Linked DNA regions of Lepisosteus oculatus. The main gene of each other region encodes a partner of the protein of the gene in region 2 in a complex. Links are inferred from orthologs where the notes say so. Each region holds a gene or a part of one and is shown on either strand. Other genes may lie near its edges.

Region 1 (7,390 bases), on a different chromosome or scaffold from region 2:
CACTTCTCCGTCTCCGGCCCTGCTGGCATAGTGGACCTGACTGTACAAGTGGAACTCCACCTCGCTGTCGAGCTCGGAGTCGCTGGATTGCCCTGGCTCCTTGTACAGCTCGTCCTCATACTCCTCCATAGACTCATACCCAGCAAACATGTTGGCTGTGGAAACAGGTGATCGACAGACTGTTGACATCAGGTAACATGACAGAAAAACCTCGCCTAAAGTACCTCACCATTAGACAGGACAATTCACCCCTTTCATGTCTTTGACCACTGAGGAGGTCAAGTGACTCCAGGACTGAGATAGAACACCACTCGTCCCAGCTGACAAGTTCACAATCGTCGTTTGCATTTATTTTGTCTTACTCTTGTGTTGATGAAAGCAGGATCCTTACTGAAAAACAGAGGAGTTTGCTTTGACAAAAGAGAGACTGAGCACCCCAAAGTAATTCTGTATCATCCAAGTTAAAAAAACAAACCCGCCTGAATTTACAAGGATCACTTCATCCCTTTTAGCTTTAATGGTTTACCTTCTAACTTCATACTGTCAGATATACAGGTTTGCAACATCCTTTTCTGTACTGGTCTCCTATGCTTCAGCATCACTACTCATCAAACACTTTGCCTTATGTAATGTAAAATGTTGCAAGAACTGCAAAGGGCAGAGTTTGCTTCCAAACAAAGATCTGATAGGTTAATTTCCAAAGGTGCAAAACTCCAGTCTCTTCTAAAAAAAACAGAAGAGACTTAACATTTTCAGTGTTACTCCACTATTCCTCTTTTCATTTATCCCACACCCTTTACAGTGCACTCAACTCCTATGCTTTGCAGGAACAGATGTTCACCAAGCATACGAATGACTCAGATTTAGAAAACATAAATAAAATAAATGAATGCCAGAGCTACTCAATACAAGCCCATAGTCCGGTTCAACCCAGCGTGTCTGAAGCTATAATGGCTGATTAAAGAGACATAGTCTGAATGAAGGAGATGGCAAAGATGGTCACAAGCCACCGACCAAGGAATAATACAAAAAAGAGGAGGATGTAAGAGGGAGAGGGAAAATGATTTGTGCCCAAATTTGTTCCTTTTATTCATGGATCATTTTCATCCTGAATGGTCAGGGATTTAAAGGAGCATAGGCAGACTCCCGTGTAAGCTGTTCACCCCCACACAAATGACAAAATCCTGAGGTGCAAAAATTGACCCTCAAATTCTCTGAAATGACTTACCTGAGTTCTACTGCCACGCCGATTCCCTGTCCCTTTAGATCTCTTTCTCTTTCTATCCAGTGGCCTTTGACATAAAATAAAAAAAAAACAGAATGAGAGATAGAGATCAATTATTTCCTATAGCTGAGGATTACTCACTGCACCTACCAATTAACCTAACCATGAGTGTCCCAGCAGGGACTGGCTGACAGTTGAAACTCATCCTGCTATTCAGCTCTTATTCCTGTCCTCCTAAGGCTACTAATAGTGGCAGCCTTGCCAGAAAGAGGACACAAGTCAAGTGGTTTGGTAGGCCCTACTGTAAATCCAAATGTAATAGCTGGAGATCTCCAAAACAAACCAGCATCTTTAGAACACAAAGTGTTGAGAACTACTGTACCATTCACCATCGCCTTCATAAATGTGACAGGCAGGTTTGTAAGGAAAATGAGGACAAACACAAATTAACAGTTGGAAGCACATCATATGCTCAGATTAAACAAAATTTTATCTTTTTAGACACGCTGCGCAGCTAGTTTGGCATTAAGAAGATGAAGCTCACGCTGAGAAAACACTCATGCCTACTGTGAAATATGGCGGGAAGTCAATTATGTTTTGGGTTGGTTTTTCATCTACAGATCCTGGAGTGTGAAGGAATGGTGAACTTCAACCTGTACCGGGGTATTTTTGGCCAAACTCCTGGTTTCCTCTGCCAAGAAGATCAAGGTTGGCCAAAAGTGGACATTGTAACATGACGATACAAGCCATAGGCCCAAAACCACACAGAAGTGCACACATATGTCATTCAAATTAGCGCACCTTCTACACTGTAAATATTATTTTTCCTGGTAATGTTTTGTGTCTGTTGCAGTTTAAGATTCTTTGAATAATTGTGCTCTCATTTCATATACTGATCACAGCTGAAATGATATGTGTAAGTGATAATTTATATAGAAATTGATGAAAAACGTTTTCCAGATATATTTATGATGGTAAAAACAAGAACAGTTTGTAGGCCTTCCATCTGGTTGGATTTTTAATAAGTCCCTTCAGAGCTCAATGCCCACAGGTTGCACAGTCTCTCATGACTTAACAAGTTGTTCACGGTTTTGCCTTTGAAAAACACTTATGCTTTCGAATATTTGTACTCACTCACACACACCTAATTTGACATCATAAACGTGTAAAAGAAACGAATTCTGTCCCTGTCGCCATCTGTTTATCTGCAGATATCCAAATGAGAAAAACAAAACAGCAAAACAAATAAAAACGTAAAGATACTTTTGTGATGCGATTAAAATGTATTTTAAACTAGAATAACACCCACTGAATACATTAACTTAAAAACACTATAGAACAGTGTGTGGACGTATTTGTGTTAGCTCCTATTCTCTGTGCACAAACTAGTACCTAATGACAGTGTTTGTCTAACACCTACATTTAGACAGTGTAAAACAGAGAATAGGAAATCGTGGCAGAGAAGCAAAATATTTAGGTATTATTAATCAGTTCACACTGTATATCCTAAAATCTTAAAAGCTTGTGTACCCACGTGTTCAACCACTCAGTGTAACTACCGGCAGACTATAAACAAATCACTCAACGCGTACTGTACTCTAGGGCTTTAAAAACATAAGCCACGCTAGTTTGACCATTTCAAATACAATATCCAGCTTGCCTTTCTGCACTGGATTTTGTATTCTTATGTCACTTTAAACTCACCCGTGTATTAGTTTTCAGCCACAACTTCAGACATTACAGTAAAAACACATTCCGCTGTCCGACCAATGTCAGCACGGAGTTTGGAGGAGCTGGTTGGACGATGATCACATTGCTCAGTCTTTCCCGGAGTTTCCATGCACGTCTCGGGAAGCGAAGGTACTGTAGCATTAATGTCACGGTGAACTGAAAACGAAGTCTTAGAACTCACAGCAGGGAGAGATACATGCCATTAAATCGTGTGCTTTTAAGAAACACGCACACAGTGTGAACTATGTTATACCACTTGATACCATAAGTATTGTATTTTAATACCATAAATGTCTAACTGTAGTGAATGTGAGACAAGACAAGACCGTTATGTAGCGCAGACAGCGGTAGTAACTTCAAATTTGTATCTTCCATTTTTGTATAAAACATTGGGTTCTTGTTGTCCATTAACGTACTCAAATCCTGAACATTTATATTTACATTTGTAAGTACGACATATAGTTTTTAAAATAACTGTTTTTCACTGGAATTCGTAACTTCTTAAGATTTGTATATCCCAGCGAAATGCAACAATATTGAGGGTGACACAACTGTCAACAAGATTAATTATAATGTTGTATCATATAACACAGTAGTGTCTAACTTAAGCTACTGTAAACCCGTACCGAAGTTATATTTCCCATATAAATTCGAAACGTATTATAGGGGAAAATGAAATAACAGTGATTCGCGACTGTCGTTTGTTTATATCATTTCTAAATGTATTGTATGTAATAATATTTACGTTTGTGCTGCTAAGTTTGCTTCTTGTGCTTCGTCCTCTCTATTACATTACATAGATAAAGCGGATAGCGAACGTTTCGCCGCCCTGTAAATTTTATAGGATAAACACCGAATAAAAATAACAAACAATACGTTCATTTACATAAATTTTCGATGGTGTCATTTAAGTAAAGGTTTCGAATTTCACCTAAAAGTGGAAACGGAGTTGCTTCGTATTATTATTATTATTATTATTATTATTATTATTATTATTATTATTATTATTATTATTATTATTTACTTTGTTAACTCTCAAAATATTTTCTTCTCCCAAGCAAGTGTGTATATTTAACAGCAGCAAAAACAATGAGAGAATGTTTTAGTTTAAATTTGCAGTTTTGGCATAATAAAGTTTGTTTTTTATTTACAGAACTTTTGTTTAAATACTCCTGTTTATTGACCTGCCCCGTACTCTTTGGACTCCATTCTGTCATCTTTAAGGATTGTTACCTGTTGTAATATTGATTAAGATGGACAAAGCATTATTGACCCCAGGAATTTTTTAAGTCCATAGCACAGACGAGCCTTTTCCTGTTTAGTGAAAAACCTACAGCATCTACTTTGTCACCTATTTGCAGAAGCAGAGGTCAGTGAAAACTATCTAGTCAAGAGTTTTGAATTAAAAGGAATTTTAAACACTGTCTGTGCTTCATGGCATCAGACAAGTCATGGTCAAATCCCTTCCCTCATTGCCTTCCACTTACTAAAAATCATGCAGTAACAGGTGTAGCTGCTTCTTATACATGCTACAATTGTTGTTCATAGTATCTATATTTTAGACATTAATGCCCCCATTTTACACCATTTGCATCCATATGCTTTGAGCTGAGCCTGTAGATTGCTGTCCTGCTTCTTAGCAAATTACAGAAAATCACTGTTTGATTCACCATCTGAGTTGGAATAATTTGCCATGCATGTCATACTGGCAATGCCATAAAAAAAAACAGCAATTGTTTGCACCCAAAGGCAAGCTTTTCTACATTATGTCTTTGTGATTCATGGCTGAGCTTCCATGGGAGTTTTTAGAACTAAATTAGGTAGAGATGGGAATCAGTCATGTCTATAGAAAAAAAAAAGATTTGAGACTTGATTTTGATTTATTGTTGGAGGTTTTTTCAGGGGATGCAGGCAAAAACTCTCATTGACTATTCCATAGGCTTGCAACTGTTCATCTGTTAAATACAGAGCCATTCGTCTCCTGCACCTTGTTTGAAAGTCTTTAGTCCTAAGCTTTGAGTTATGAATACCTGCCATGATGTTCAAATCAAGGATTTGTGTTGATAGAGCTTCATTATTCAGACTACGGCCTGGATTAAATCACAGTTCCAGCCCTCTTGCCAATATCTAATTCCACATGCATCCTTTGATGGAGCTTTCTGTTTGCCAGAGGCTTTTACTGGTAACAAGGCCTTATTCCTTAACCACTGGACCACCTAGTCTCCACCCACAGAGAATAACCCAGACACTGATAAGACGCACAAGATGGTACTGCTGAGGCTTGTGCAACAGCAGAAGGAGACCATATTCATTACTGTGTTTGTGCGCTTAATGTTGGCCACATCTCTGCACTGAACATTTGTGCAGCAAAACAAAATGAGTATTTTGTGTGAAATGTTAATGCCTTCTGTAAAAGCTGTTCATTTTTATCATCCTCTGTTGTTGCTACGAAATTTCAATTGAAATTAAAATTCAATTCTTGGATAAAACACTAACCAGTGCACCATACTTTGCATTGGTGTTGGTGCTGCTGCTGAGTCTGTTCGTGGCATTTTGCAAAGGTCAATAGCTCCATTATAAAATGATAATAATAGATTGTAGAGACTAATTAATGTTTTTTAAAAAAAAAACAGTATAGATTTTTATTTTTGAAGTCATAAGTGTCCCATTGGCATTTATATTTTTTTGTTTTGAATTACCAGATTTATTTGTCTGTGTTTTATTCATAACAGGGGAGTGGCTAGCTATTTATGCAACACAGCATCCTGCCCCCAGCGTTTGAAAATTAGATTTATATGTTCATAATAGATCTAGATATAACTTTTATTAGATTTCTTGGAAAACTGTGGCTGACCACCTTTGCTCCAGTCTCTGTAGCAGGGCTAGTCAGTAAACAGTCCTCATTTATTCCAACAGAGTTTGACTCGAAATATTGTTTAATTAATTTGATTTGTTACAAATATATTTAACAGTTAACAACCTTTTTTGGTCACCAACATCACCAGTAGACCTGCTCTAGCATCTAGATGGGCTGGTCCCAGTTCTGGAGAACCAAACTCCAGCAGAGTTTACAAGTTACTCTTGATCATCAATTAACATTAATTCATTTATAACAAATGTACTGTAAGCATTTGGTTGTTTTACCAATCAATGTGTTCCACTGAGAGTGAAGGGAGAAACTCTGGCCTTGCAATGATGAGAGTTAATGGGCTCATTCCTAATGATGAAGTAGGAAACAGTCTCATATAGACACTGGTATTCTTAAAGCTGACCTATAAAACTCCCCAGAACCAGTACTGTTCACCATGTGCTATTGCTAATGTTGTACACTATTCATACAATTGCAGAGCTGGAAAGTCACAATACAACAGGTTTGTTTTTATAAGGCACTTTAAATCATCAACAAGATGTTAGAATAGTGTTATATTATCAAATTATTGAATTGAGTTAGAAAGGCCAGAGCCTTCGGACTCAGAGCTCTGTAGTGTTCCAGGATTGGTATTGTGTACCACCGCTCTGGCCAGTTTGATGGACAGGTTCTGCATTGAACACAGGGTATAACAGATTAATGGACAAAAGACTGAGGCCCATATAACATCATGTCTTAGTGTTCTCACCTCACAGTAGTTGTATCCTACATTGTGAGTTACAGCAAAGATAACTGTGATTTATTCTGCATTTGCTACAAATATTAATAACAGAGAATCGTCTTCTCTATTGTGAAGAGAGATTTATTGGGATGATAAATGTTCTATTTTGCTAAATAATTAGCAATATTCAGAGCTTTTATTCTGAATAAAACAACTAGAAAAATAAAACAAGTACCCACCTTATTGATGATTTTCAGTTATTTTGTTTTCTCTCATGGTTTGTCTGTGTTCTTTAAGCATTGGATCATCTCCAGATGATGCCTCCTAAGTGCAATTAACATGGGACGTCTTAAGCATAGAGTACAATCTGAAGCCAAACTGTATGCTATGCTCGTATTCCATAGACCTCCTGAAGCAGTGTTAACAGTTTTTCATATAAAATGCTGTTGGAAAGTATGTATATGCTTATTGTGTATGCCATTACTTGTGTAGTGCATCCATTTAAGACACAGTATAATTTTGTGAATCCACTCTTGACTCCATATCTAAGTTGCAGTGGCATCCATTGTCAGACCTGCAACCTGATTCCTTTGACATAACCTTTGCTCGTTTCTTTTCAAACCTTACATTCTAAGGTGGTGGAGAACTTTAGAGGTAGATACTCTAGAACTCTTAGTATAGTGCAATACTGTATAGTATAGTGCTGTATAGAATAGAATAGTATAGCCACTTGGCTCATGTCATTCCATTCTGTCTAGTTTGCCTACGCATCCAATCAAGAATGATTAAAGATCACTAACCTGTTGTGCAGCTTGGATGTGTTTGTGTCTTGCATGCTATTTTA
Region 2 (7,939 bases):
ACTTTTCATGAGAACACGGCAATTAATTTCAGTGGGACATCTTCTTTATGTAAAAGAACAAGATGTGAAGATGATATCTCTAGAAAGTGTTCAGTGCACGTCTGTGATGAATCTGGTCTGTGCTCCAGGACTGAGCCCAGCCTAGAGCCAATGCCACTGTATGTTCTGTTGTGCCTGACTCTGCAGATGATCGGGAACTTCCTCCTGCAAGTCGCGTCGAAGGACCCCAGTCTGGTGGTGTGCGGGGAGGCCCTGGACGCCCTGTTCGACGTGTTCGCGGACGGGCCGGAGGCGGAGCGCGCCGCCAAGGAGATCCGGCTGCTGCCTGCTCTGAGCGCCCTGCAGCCTGTCTTCAAGGCCAAGGTCCGACACGCGAACACGCAGTATTTCCACCTCCCCAGCTGGGCTCGGCAGGACGCCCGTCCAGCCAGGGCATTAGCTAGCTCACTGGGCCTTAAGAGACCAGGCTGATCCTGTTGCTGCAGGTCACTTAAACAATCACAGAGGACGATGACTTTGCAGTGGAGATGTCTGGCCCAGTCCAGCTGATCCTGAGTTTGAATATCAGTAAAAGGTCTGTTCACGAAACCAAAAGGTTTCTCTGCAAGAAGCTACATTGGACAAGTTTTCCTTTTAAGCATCTCCTGTAAATCTCGGACCTCAGCAGTTCTCCCAGTTAAATCGCTAGCTGCTTCTTTCAGCGTTCGTCCTTCTTGAATACCACATCAGCCATCGCCTTGTCTGTGGGCAGAGCCCTGTTCTTTACCTGGTCCAGCAGTCCCTGCCAGTGACGCTCTGTTTTTCCCCTCCTCTCTTCCAGCTGAGGAAAGAAGGCAAGGGGAGCTGCAGCCCGGACCAGCTGTGCGTGCTGGATAACATCAAGATCAACCTCCGCCGCTTCATCAGGTACCAGGAGAGCTTGGAGAAAAACTGCGCTTCTTAGCACTGACTGCTGCTTCGAGAGAGGGAGTCGGGGTCTGTGCACCCCAACTGACTCTGATGGAGGAGCCGTAGGAAAGACTGGAGCTTTGGGAATTTGGGGAATAGCTCCTTCCACCACACCAGAGGACCTGTGTGGAAGACCGGAGTGTTGGCAAAAGCCCTTTGCGCCACACAAGGTGCTTGAGAATGAAATCCATATTTAAATTTTGTTGGTTTGTTTTTTCTTTTTTCTAGAAAGTGTACCGGTCCTGTTTTTTCACCATGGATCGCTTTGTTGATCACAGAATGTAAGGGAAAAAAAATAAAAAACCCAAGGGATGGTTGCAATACTGTATTACCATTTAAATAAAACTTCCTTTGCTATACAATGCAATTCTGAATAAAATGACGCCGTTTTTAAGTTATAACGCAATTCTGAAAGTGTTTTTAAAATTATGAATTCTTCGTTTAATGATCAGTAGTGTGGCACACTTGGGCTTGAAGTCTTACAGTTTTTCAAGACTGGACACGCATCCCTGCTAGCCAGGAATTTCACGACGTAGGGCTTTATTATAATATGGGTTTGCTGTCTCACTGGGCTTCATACTGGTGGCAGATGTGGCTGGTGGCTTTTCTGTTGTCTAGTATCTGTAGTGTCTGGGCTGTGCCATCAGCTGGGTTCTCTACGTGTTTCATGTATTTATATTTTAGCTCTTTTTGGTGTGATATCTTCGAGGTTCTGGTTTGCTCACCGTACTGAAGACCCGCTCCACATCCTCCTCTCCTTACGCAGGTTCTTCTTGAACTGGGTGAAAAGTGTTTAAGGGGAAGGTTGTGTGCTCCTTTCCTTTCTGCACTGAAGCCCTGCGCTGTGCAGCCACTGATAAAAGGGTTGTGTCCGGGTAGCAGGAGGCGTCCTGCTCTTTGGTACAGATGAACACTGCCAGTAAGCAGGTAACTCAGAGCTTACTGCTGTCCTGTGGTGGAGGTGAGGAAATCACTGGGCTAATGAGGAAGATGAGCCAGTTCCATTTGAGCTCTTGATACAGTGTTTTAGGTTTGGGAAATTCACAAATTAGTGCGAATCTGTGTTTATTAATATCGGTAAAAGATTTTATAATCGGTTCTTTCTAACTGCACTTGTCTGTAAATGTTCAACTCTCAGTCCCGGTTCCTCACAGATACCTCTTCTATTTGGGAGTAACTACCCCGTTTAAGATGCTCATCAGAATGGCAAAGCTAAGTCAGTTTCTGCATACAGTTGCTGTAAACCACTCCTGAAGTCTACCTGAATAATGCATTTGAGCAAAAAGTTATCTTGTATTTCTGGATATTCTTTATCAGCTCAGTAAAAGTAAATATCTATATCAACATGTTGTAAAAATATGTATGTAATCTAGCAAGTGTAAATCACACCATTACACCTTCAATGTTTATAATCTTAAAAGTTCAAAGTCTGTACAGTCTGGAGATAAACCAAGCCCAGTCTCTGAGGGTATAGTGTTTCACTCGTAAACAGCCCAGGACTTTAATTGCTTTATTGTTGTTAGCGAAATGAGAGGTTATTCTTCATTTTTCGCACACCATGGATGACATGTAGGCGATGTCAGAGCAGGTAAGGGGGAGTCGGGGAGGAATGTCGAGCGAATAATTTTCCACTCCTCCATGCAGGGTGTTTATAGTCCAGGAAAGACACGCACCCGCCACGTGCGAGCCGTGCAAGAGCTGAGTGTTGATTCAGGCTCGTGGACGCCCACGCACCTGGGTTTTCATTCCGCTCGGCTCTCCTTCACGTGCTCGAACCCTTAATTTGCCTCATCGTAGGATTCATCTGAGCCTTTTTTAATTGTTCTCAGTTCCTGAACGTTTTGGAAGGTGCCCCTCTACGATTGCGTCCCACAATTGAAATGTAGGATCTCCGGGATCGGGGGGATCTGAGGAGGAAAAACTTGATTCCAATCTCAGTGTCGGCTCAGTTAAGAATTTGGTTAAGTTAAGGAGCTCACCGGGAATGAAGAACAGCAGGTGAGGGGTCCGGGGACCCCCTTTGTTAAATGGGGCGAACGTTGGGCTAGTTTGGCCAAGGCTGACGTGAGAGGGGAGCCAGCTGCGTGCACCTCCTCGCAGTCTACGAGACGGGGAAGCAGACGGAGGAGAACAGGGAAGACTTCGTCACACGGACAGGCATTTAAACAGGTATGTCCTGAATGTGAAAAATGTCTTGTGTCCCTTTTGTTAGTGCTGTTATTGTGGTAGGAAGAAAGCCGCTTGCCTCCCATTAGTGATTCCTTTTTCGGACCCGCCTTCCAGCACAGATGACTGAAAACTGAAAGCAGTCTTGCAGGGAGCGACAGCTGCCAGCTGCACTGTGTGTAGGAGGAGCCATAGGGCTGAAGAGGCTGGAAAAGAGAGGCACTTCACTGCTCTTCTCCCATTCAGGTTTCTCTTACCTGCGTACTGCGGTTACTGAAGGTGATGGAAAGGCGCTACGCTGCAAATGTTAAATGTGTTTTTAAACAGTTGTTCTGAGGAAATACCAGAGAGGTGCAATGGAACAGCAGGCCAAGGGCTCATTGAGCCTTGTTTCACTTCTCCTGTGTGTCTCCAAATAGAAGAACAGCCGGAGACACTGCAGACTCTAGATAAAAAAAAACAATTATCATTCTCATCCTGCGGTCCATGTGGGTCCTAATGCCCCAGTATAGTGACGGGGACACTATACTGTAAACAGGCGCCGTCCTTCGGATGAGACGTAAAACCGAGGTCCTGACTCTCTGTGGTCATTAAAAATTCCAGAGCGTTTCTCGAAAAGAGTAGGGGTGTAACCCCGGTGTCCTGGCCAAATTTCCCATTGGCCCTTACCAATCATGGCCTCCTAATAATCCCCCTCTATGAATTGACTACATTACTCTGCTCTCCTCCCCACTGAGAGCTGATGTGTGGTGAGCGTTCTGGCGCACTATGGCTGCCGTCGCATCATCCAGGTGGGGCTGCACACTGGTGGTGGTGGAGGGGATCCCCATTACCTGTAAAGCGCTTTGAGTGGAGTGTCCAGAAAAGCGCTATATAAGTGTAAGAAATTATTATTATTATTATTATTATTATTAATCTTTCAAATTAATCTGCTCTTTCTGGTTACACAGCCTTCGTAAATCCCGTGCCGAAAGGGGTATCTGTTTATTTCAGCACTTGCATTTCTTAATCTAAAATGTTGTGTCATCCTCAACTTCTAAGTACTGAATTATAGTTAAAGGAGTTAAAGGAGATAAAACTGGGTACATATCACAGGTGTCCAGGTGACAGGTGTCTGAAGGAGCTGAGGAAATGTGGGCATATACAGTCTGCCACTGCCCTGATGTCTCTGAGTACCTGGTTCCACCGATAGAGGGCAGGAGAGAGGAGTGAGCAGCACAAGAGTGAAGAGCTGGACATGGTCAAGGAGGACTGGAGTATTGGAGACAGGGGAGGCTGCAGACCAGTGGGACATAGTAATAATAATGATAGTAATAATACACTTCATTTTGTATAGTGTCTTTATAAGCTTCTCAAGACCCTTTAAAGTAAGGGGAAAGAACTATGATAGGAGATAAAAAGTACAACATAAAAGAAAAAGAGTGTGGTGTAACATGCAAATCAGTTTAGTAAAAGCCCTTCTGAAGAAGGTCCTGAGATGGGCAGGGAGGACAGGAGAGCGTACTGGACACGGGCAGGGGGGTGAAGCAGGCTGCAGTCCGGCAGGAGGTGAAATGAGAGGACAGGGGACGTCAAAATAGAAAAAGAAAATCTGTACGCATAAACCTCTCCATCGACTCCATCGAGGCTCATTGGAAAGAACGTCATTTTCCAAATCGGGGATGGTGAGCACCCTAACAGGGTGTAAACAGTTGATTCTTGAGTCGACACCTTGTTTCCAAGACTGATTTGTTACTGTTACGTAACAAGACAAAAATGTTGACGCGCGATGGCGTCACAGCGGGCTGTCCCCGCCCCCTCCGCGGCGCGGCTGCGCAGTGGGCCGCGCTGGCCGCCATTGAGGGACCCGGAGAGAGAGAGGGGTCAGACGAACAGCGACAGGCGAGGGTTGTGCGCCGCCGTGATCTGGGATCTCCTTCTTCTTGCTGTCAAAACTGAACTTTTGTCATAGTTGGAGGGTTTTTTTGTTTTTAAATATTTCGTGCTTTCTGTCTCCTTCCGTTTTTTGTTCTCCGATTTTAAAGGGATTCTTATTTAAGGGGTGATATTTATAATAACATCGCACTGCGAGGAGCCAGCCTTGCTGCGCCGCACACGCGTACGGTCTGAGCCTCGCTCGGGGCAGGCACGGTGCGTGTCGTGCCCACTAGCGTTTGATGGATCCGAGAATCGCCTGGTTTCAGCCAGAACAGCTCGGACCTGCCAACAGCTTGTGGATGCAGATCTGGGAGACGACGCAGGGTCTGAGCAACCTGTACTTCAACAACAACTACAGCAGCGGCAGCAGCAGCGGGGGGACGGCCGACGCCAGCTCGGCGAAGAGCGGGGCTCCCAGCGAGGGCAGGAGCCCTGGCATGTCTAACGCCAGGCCGGAGGGCGAGATCGGGCAGCAGCGGGACTTTTTACCCTTGGAGACCAACAACAACCGGCCAGCGGGGAGGGGCGGCGGGGCCGGAGGGGGGGGCGGAGGGGGCGCCGGGGGCTGGAGAGGGGGCTCGGACCTGCGCAACAAGAGGAAGCGGGACAACAAGGCGAGCACCTTCGGGTTCAACAGCAGCCTGCTGCTCCCGGGCTCCGGGGGCAACGGGGTGGCAGGAGGAGGCGGCGGCGGCGGCGGCTACACTGGGACGCCGTGGAAGACGAGGAACTACTCCGAAGGGATTCTGGGGTAAGCGCCGAGCACGATCGCCGCTGTCAGCAGCCTGCGCTGGCCCGCTGGCCCGCTGGCAGCGCTCCGGGTGGCGGTGCCGTGTGTCGGGGGCAGGCGGTTTTGCGCAGTTGCGTGCCTTCATGGCTTTTCCACGGGCTACTCGAGCCCTTAGCGCCGCTGAGCCCCCGTCCCGTGGGCGCCGACATGCGTGTCGCTGGTTCTCTGGTGACCTTGTGGACGAGCTGAGCGCCCCGGAGAGTTTCCGAGCCAGTCAGTGACTTGGGGTTGTATTTATTTATTTGTTCCCCTACTCTGGTCGCGGTGGGGGGGTAAGAGGGCAGTAGTGCAGGGGAGAAGAAGGGCGCAGGGCAGAGCCTGGCGGGCGCTTGTCGTGAGGTTTCGATCGGAAACGGGTCGTGAAAGGGCCGGTGCCGACGCGGTGCCAGTCCGCGCTGGATGACCGTTGAGTAACACACTCGTGTCGCCCGAAGGCTCGTCTGGTCTTGACGTGCGCTGTTTTCTTGTTCTTCCCGCAAACCACGACTATGTCAAAATAATTTAAAAAAAGAAAACTGGCCGTGGCGGGGGGTCCGCTCGGTTGCGAGGGGAGTCTGGTTCGCGCACCTTCCAGTACTTTCTTCACAGCAACTTTGACGCCTCTCCCTCCCTCCTTCCCTCAGCCTGTTCCGTAAGGGGGTGTGGATGTGACTGGATCGCACAGTGTGCGCCCGGAGAGCTGCCCCGCTCGCTGGCCGGAGGACTCCCGGCTGCAGTTTAGTTGCGCTTCTCCTGCACTTACCTGTACGGTCTCCTCACGGAAGCGAGCCCCGGGCGAGTTCGGTCGAGCCGGGAGAGAGTCGGTGTCGTTTCCAGCATTGTTCAGAAACCGCCGCCCGGAGAAGCGTAGGCTTTGCAGCAGAGGTGTCCTGTGGAACTTTTTGAACCTGTCGATCCAGTGCAATAATTGGCCTTGCTCGTCAATTGAATTTTAAAATATAAGTGCATTTTTAGATTAATAAAATAGTGAGAAGTGCATTCGCATAGTAAGTGCTTTTAATCCTCCTCGTTAAAAGTGCTGCGTGTCTAAGTCGGTCCCGCACTCAGAAAGTTGTTTAAAAGCGGATATTTTTAGATTCTAGCTGTTTTAATGACTAAATAAGATTTGTCAGGGTGGTTACAGGCAAGAACAACAGAAAACGTGACATATCCCCGTTTGTTCAGTAATATTTTAATTCTACTCACTTGATCTGGGTACAAGGAATGAGAATTAACGTTTACATTTTTGTCCTGCGGACTTAAGCATTCCGTGTATGAGTTGTTATAGCAAGTATGTCAAATCAGCACATTGAGTTTTATGACTGTAGTAAGTATTTGCCAGTTGTTTTGAATATTTTAAGCAGCGTTTTGAGCAGCTATCTGAGTGACGACCCAGTCCGTGTCACTTGCTTGAAGGTTCTGGAGAACTGTTGAAAGGCAGAACCCGAACACCTGTCCTGCTGTGCATTGCAACATTACACAGGCAGAAACCGTATGGAAGTGCATTTTAAACAAAGGCTCTTCTTTACACAAACAGTGGTGGGGGTGTGGAACAAGCTGCCCATCCGTGCTGTTGAAGCCAATATCCTGGCTTCCTTCAAGACGGCGGAATGAGATCCTGGGATCAATTATTTGGTATACCAAATAGGTCAGATGTAATAATAATAATTGCTTACACGTCTATAGCACTTTTCTGGACACTGCACTCAAAGCGCTTTACAGGTAATGGGGATCCCCTCCACCACCACCACCAGTGTGTACCCCCACCTGGATGATGCGACGGTAGCCAGAGTGCACCAGTACGCTCCCCACACACCGGCTCTCAGTGGGGAGGAGACCAGAGTGATGAAGCCAGTTCAGAGATGGGGATTTTTAGGAGGCCATCATTGGTAAAGGCCACTGGGAACTTTTGCCTGGGCGCCAGGTAACACCCGTACTCTTTTCGAGAAACAGAATTAATTTTTAATGAATACAGAGAGACAGGACCTTAGTTTTACGTCTCATCCGAAGGACGGCGCCTTTTCTTTTTACAGTGCAGTGTCCCCATCACTATACTGGGGCATTAGGACCCACATGGACCACAGGGTGAGCGCCCCCTGTTGGCCCCATTAACACCTCTTCCAGCAGCAACCTTAGTTT

The links.
Region 1: tent4b (region 2) and zcchc7 share a complex: the UniProt entries of both Homo sapiens proteins name them as parts of the nucleolar TRAMP-like complex. The link is inferred for Lepisosteus oculatus from reciprocal best matches to the Homo sapiens genes TENT4B and ZCCHC7.

What each region holds. Positions count from the first base shown.
Region 1 is NC_090696.1:67,040,567-67,047,956, reverse strand, and holds the start of zcchc7 (zinc finger CCHC domain-containing protein 7), read right to left. Parts: upstream 3,016-7,390; 5' UTR 2,930-3,015; intron 2,431-2,929; exon of another isoform or gene 2,370-2,430; intron 1,293-2,369; 5' UTR 1,229-1,292; intron 156-1,228; 5' UTR 151-155; coding exon 1-150.
Region 2 is NC_090715.1:1,971,293-1,979,231, forward strand, and holds the start of tent4b (terminal nucleotidyltransferase 4B), read left to right. Parts: upstream 1-4,923; 5' UTR 4,924-5,270; coding exon 5,271-5,782; intron 5,783-7,939. Other genes in the region: heatr3 (HEAT repeat-containing protein 3), read left to right, coding at 187-363, 821-943. UniProt on the Homo sapiens protein: Terminal nucleotidyltransferase that catalyzes preferentially the transfer of ATP and GTP on RNA 3' poly(A) tail creating a heterogeneous 3' poly(A) tail leading to mRNAs stabilization by protecting mRNAs from active deadenylation.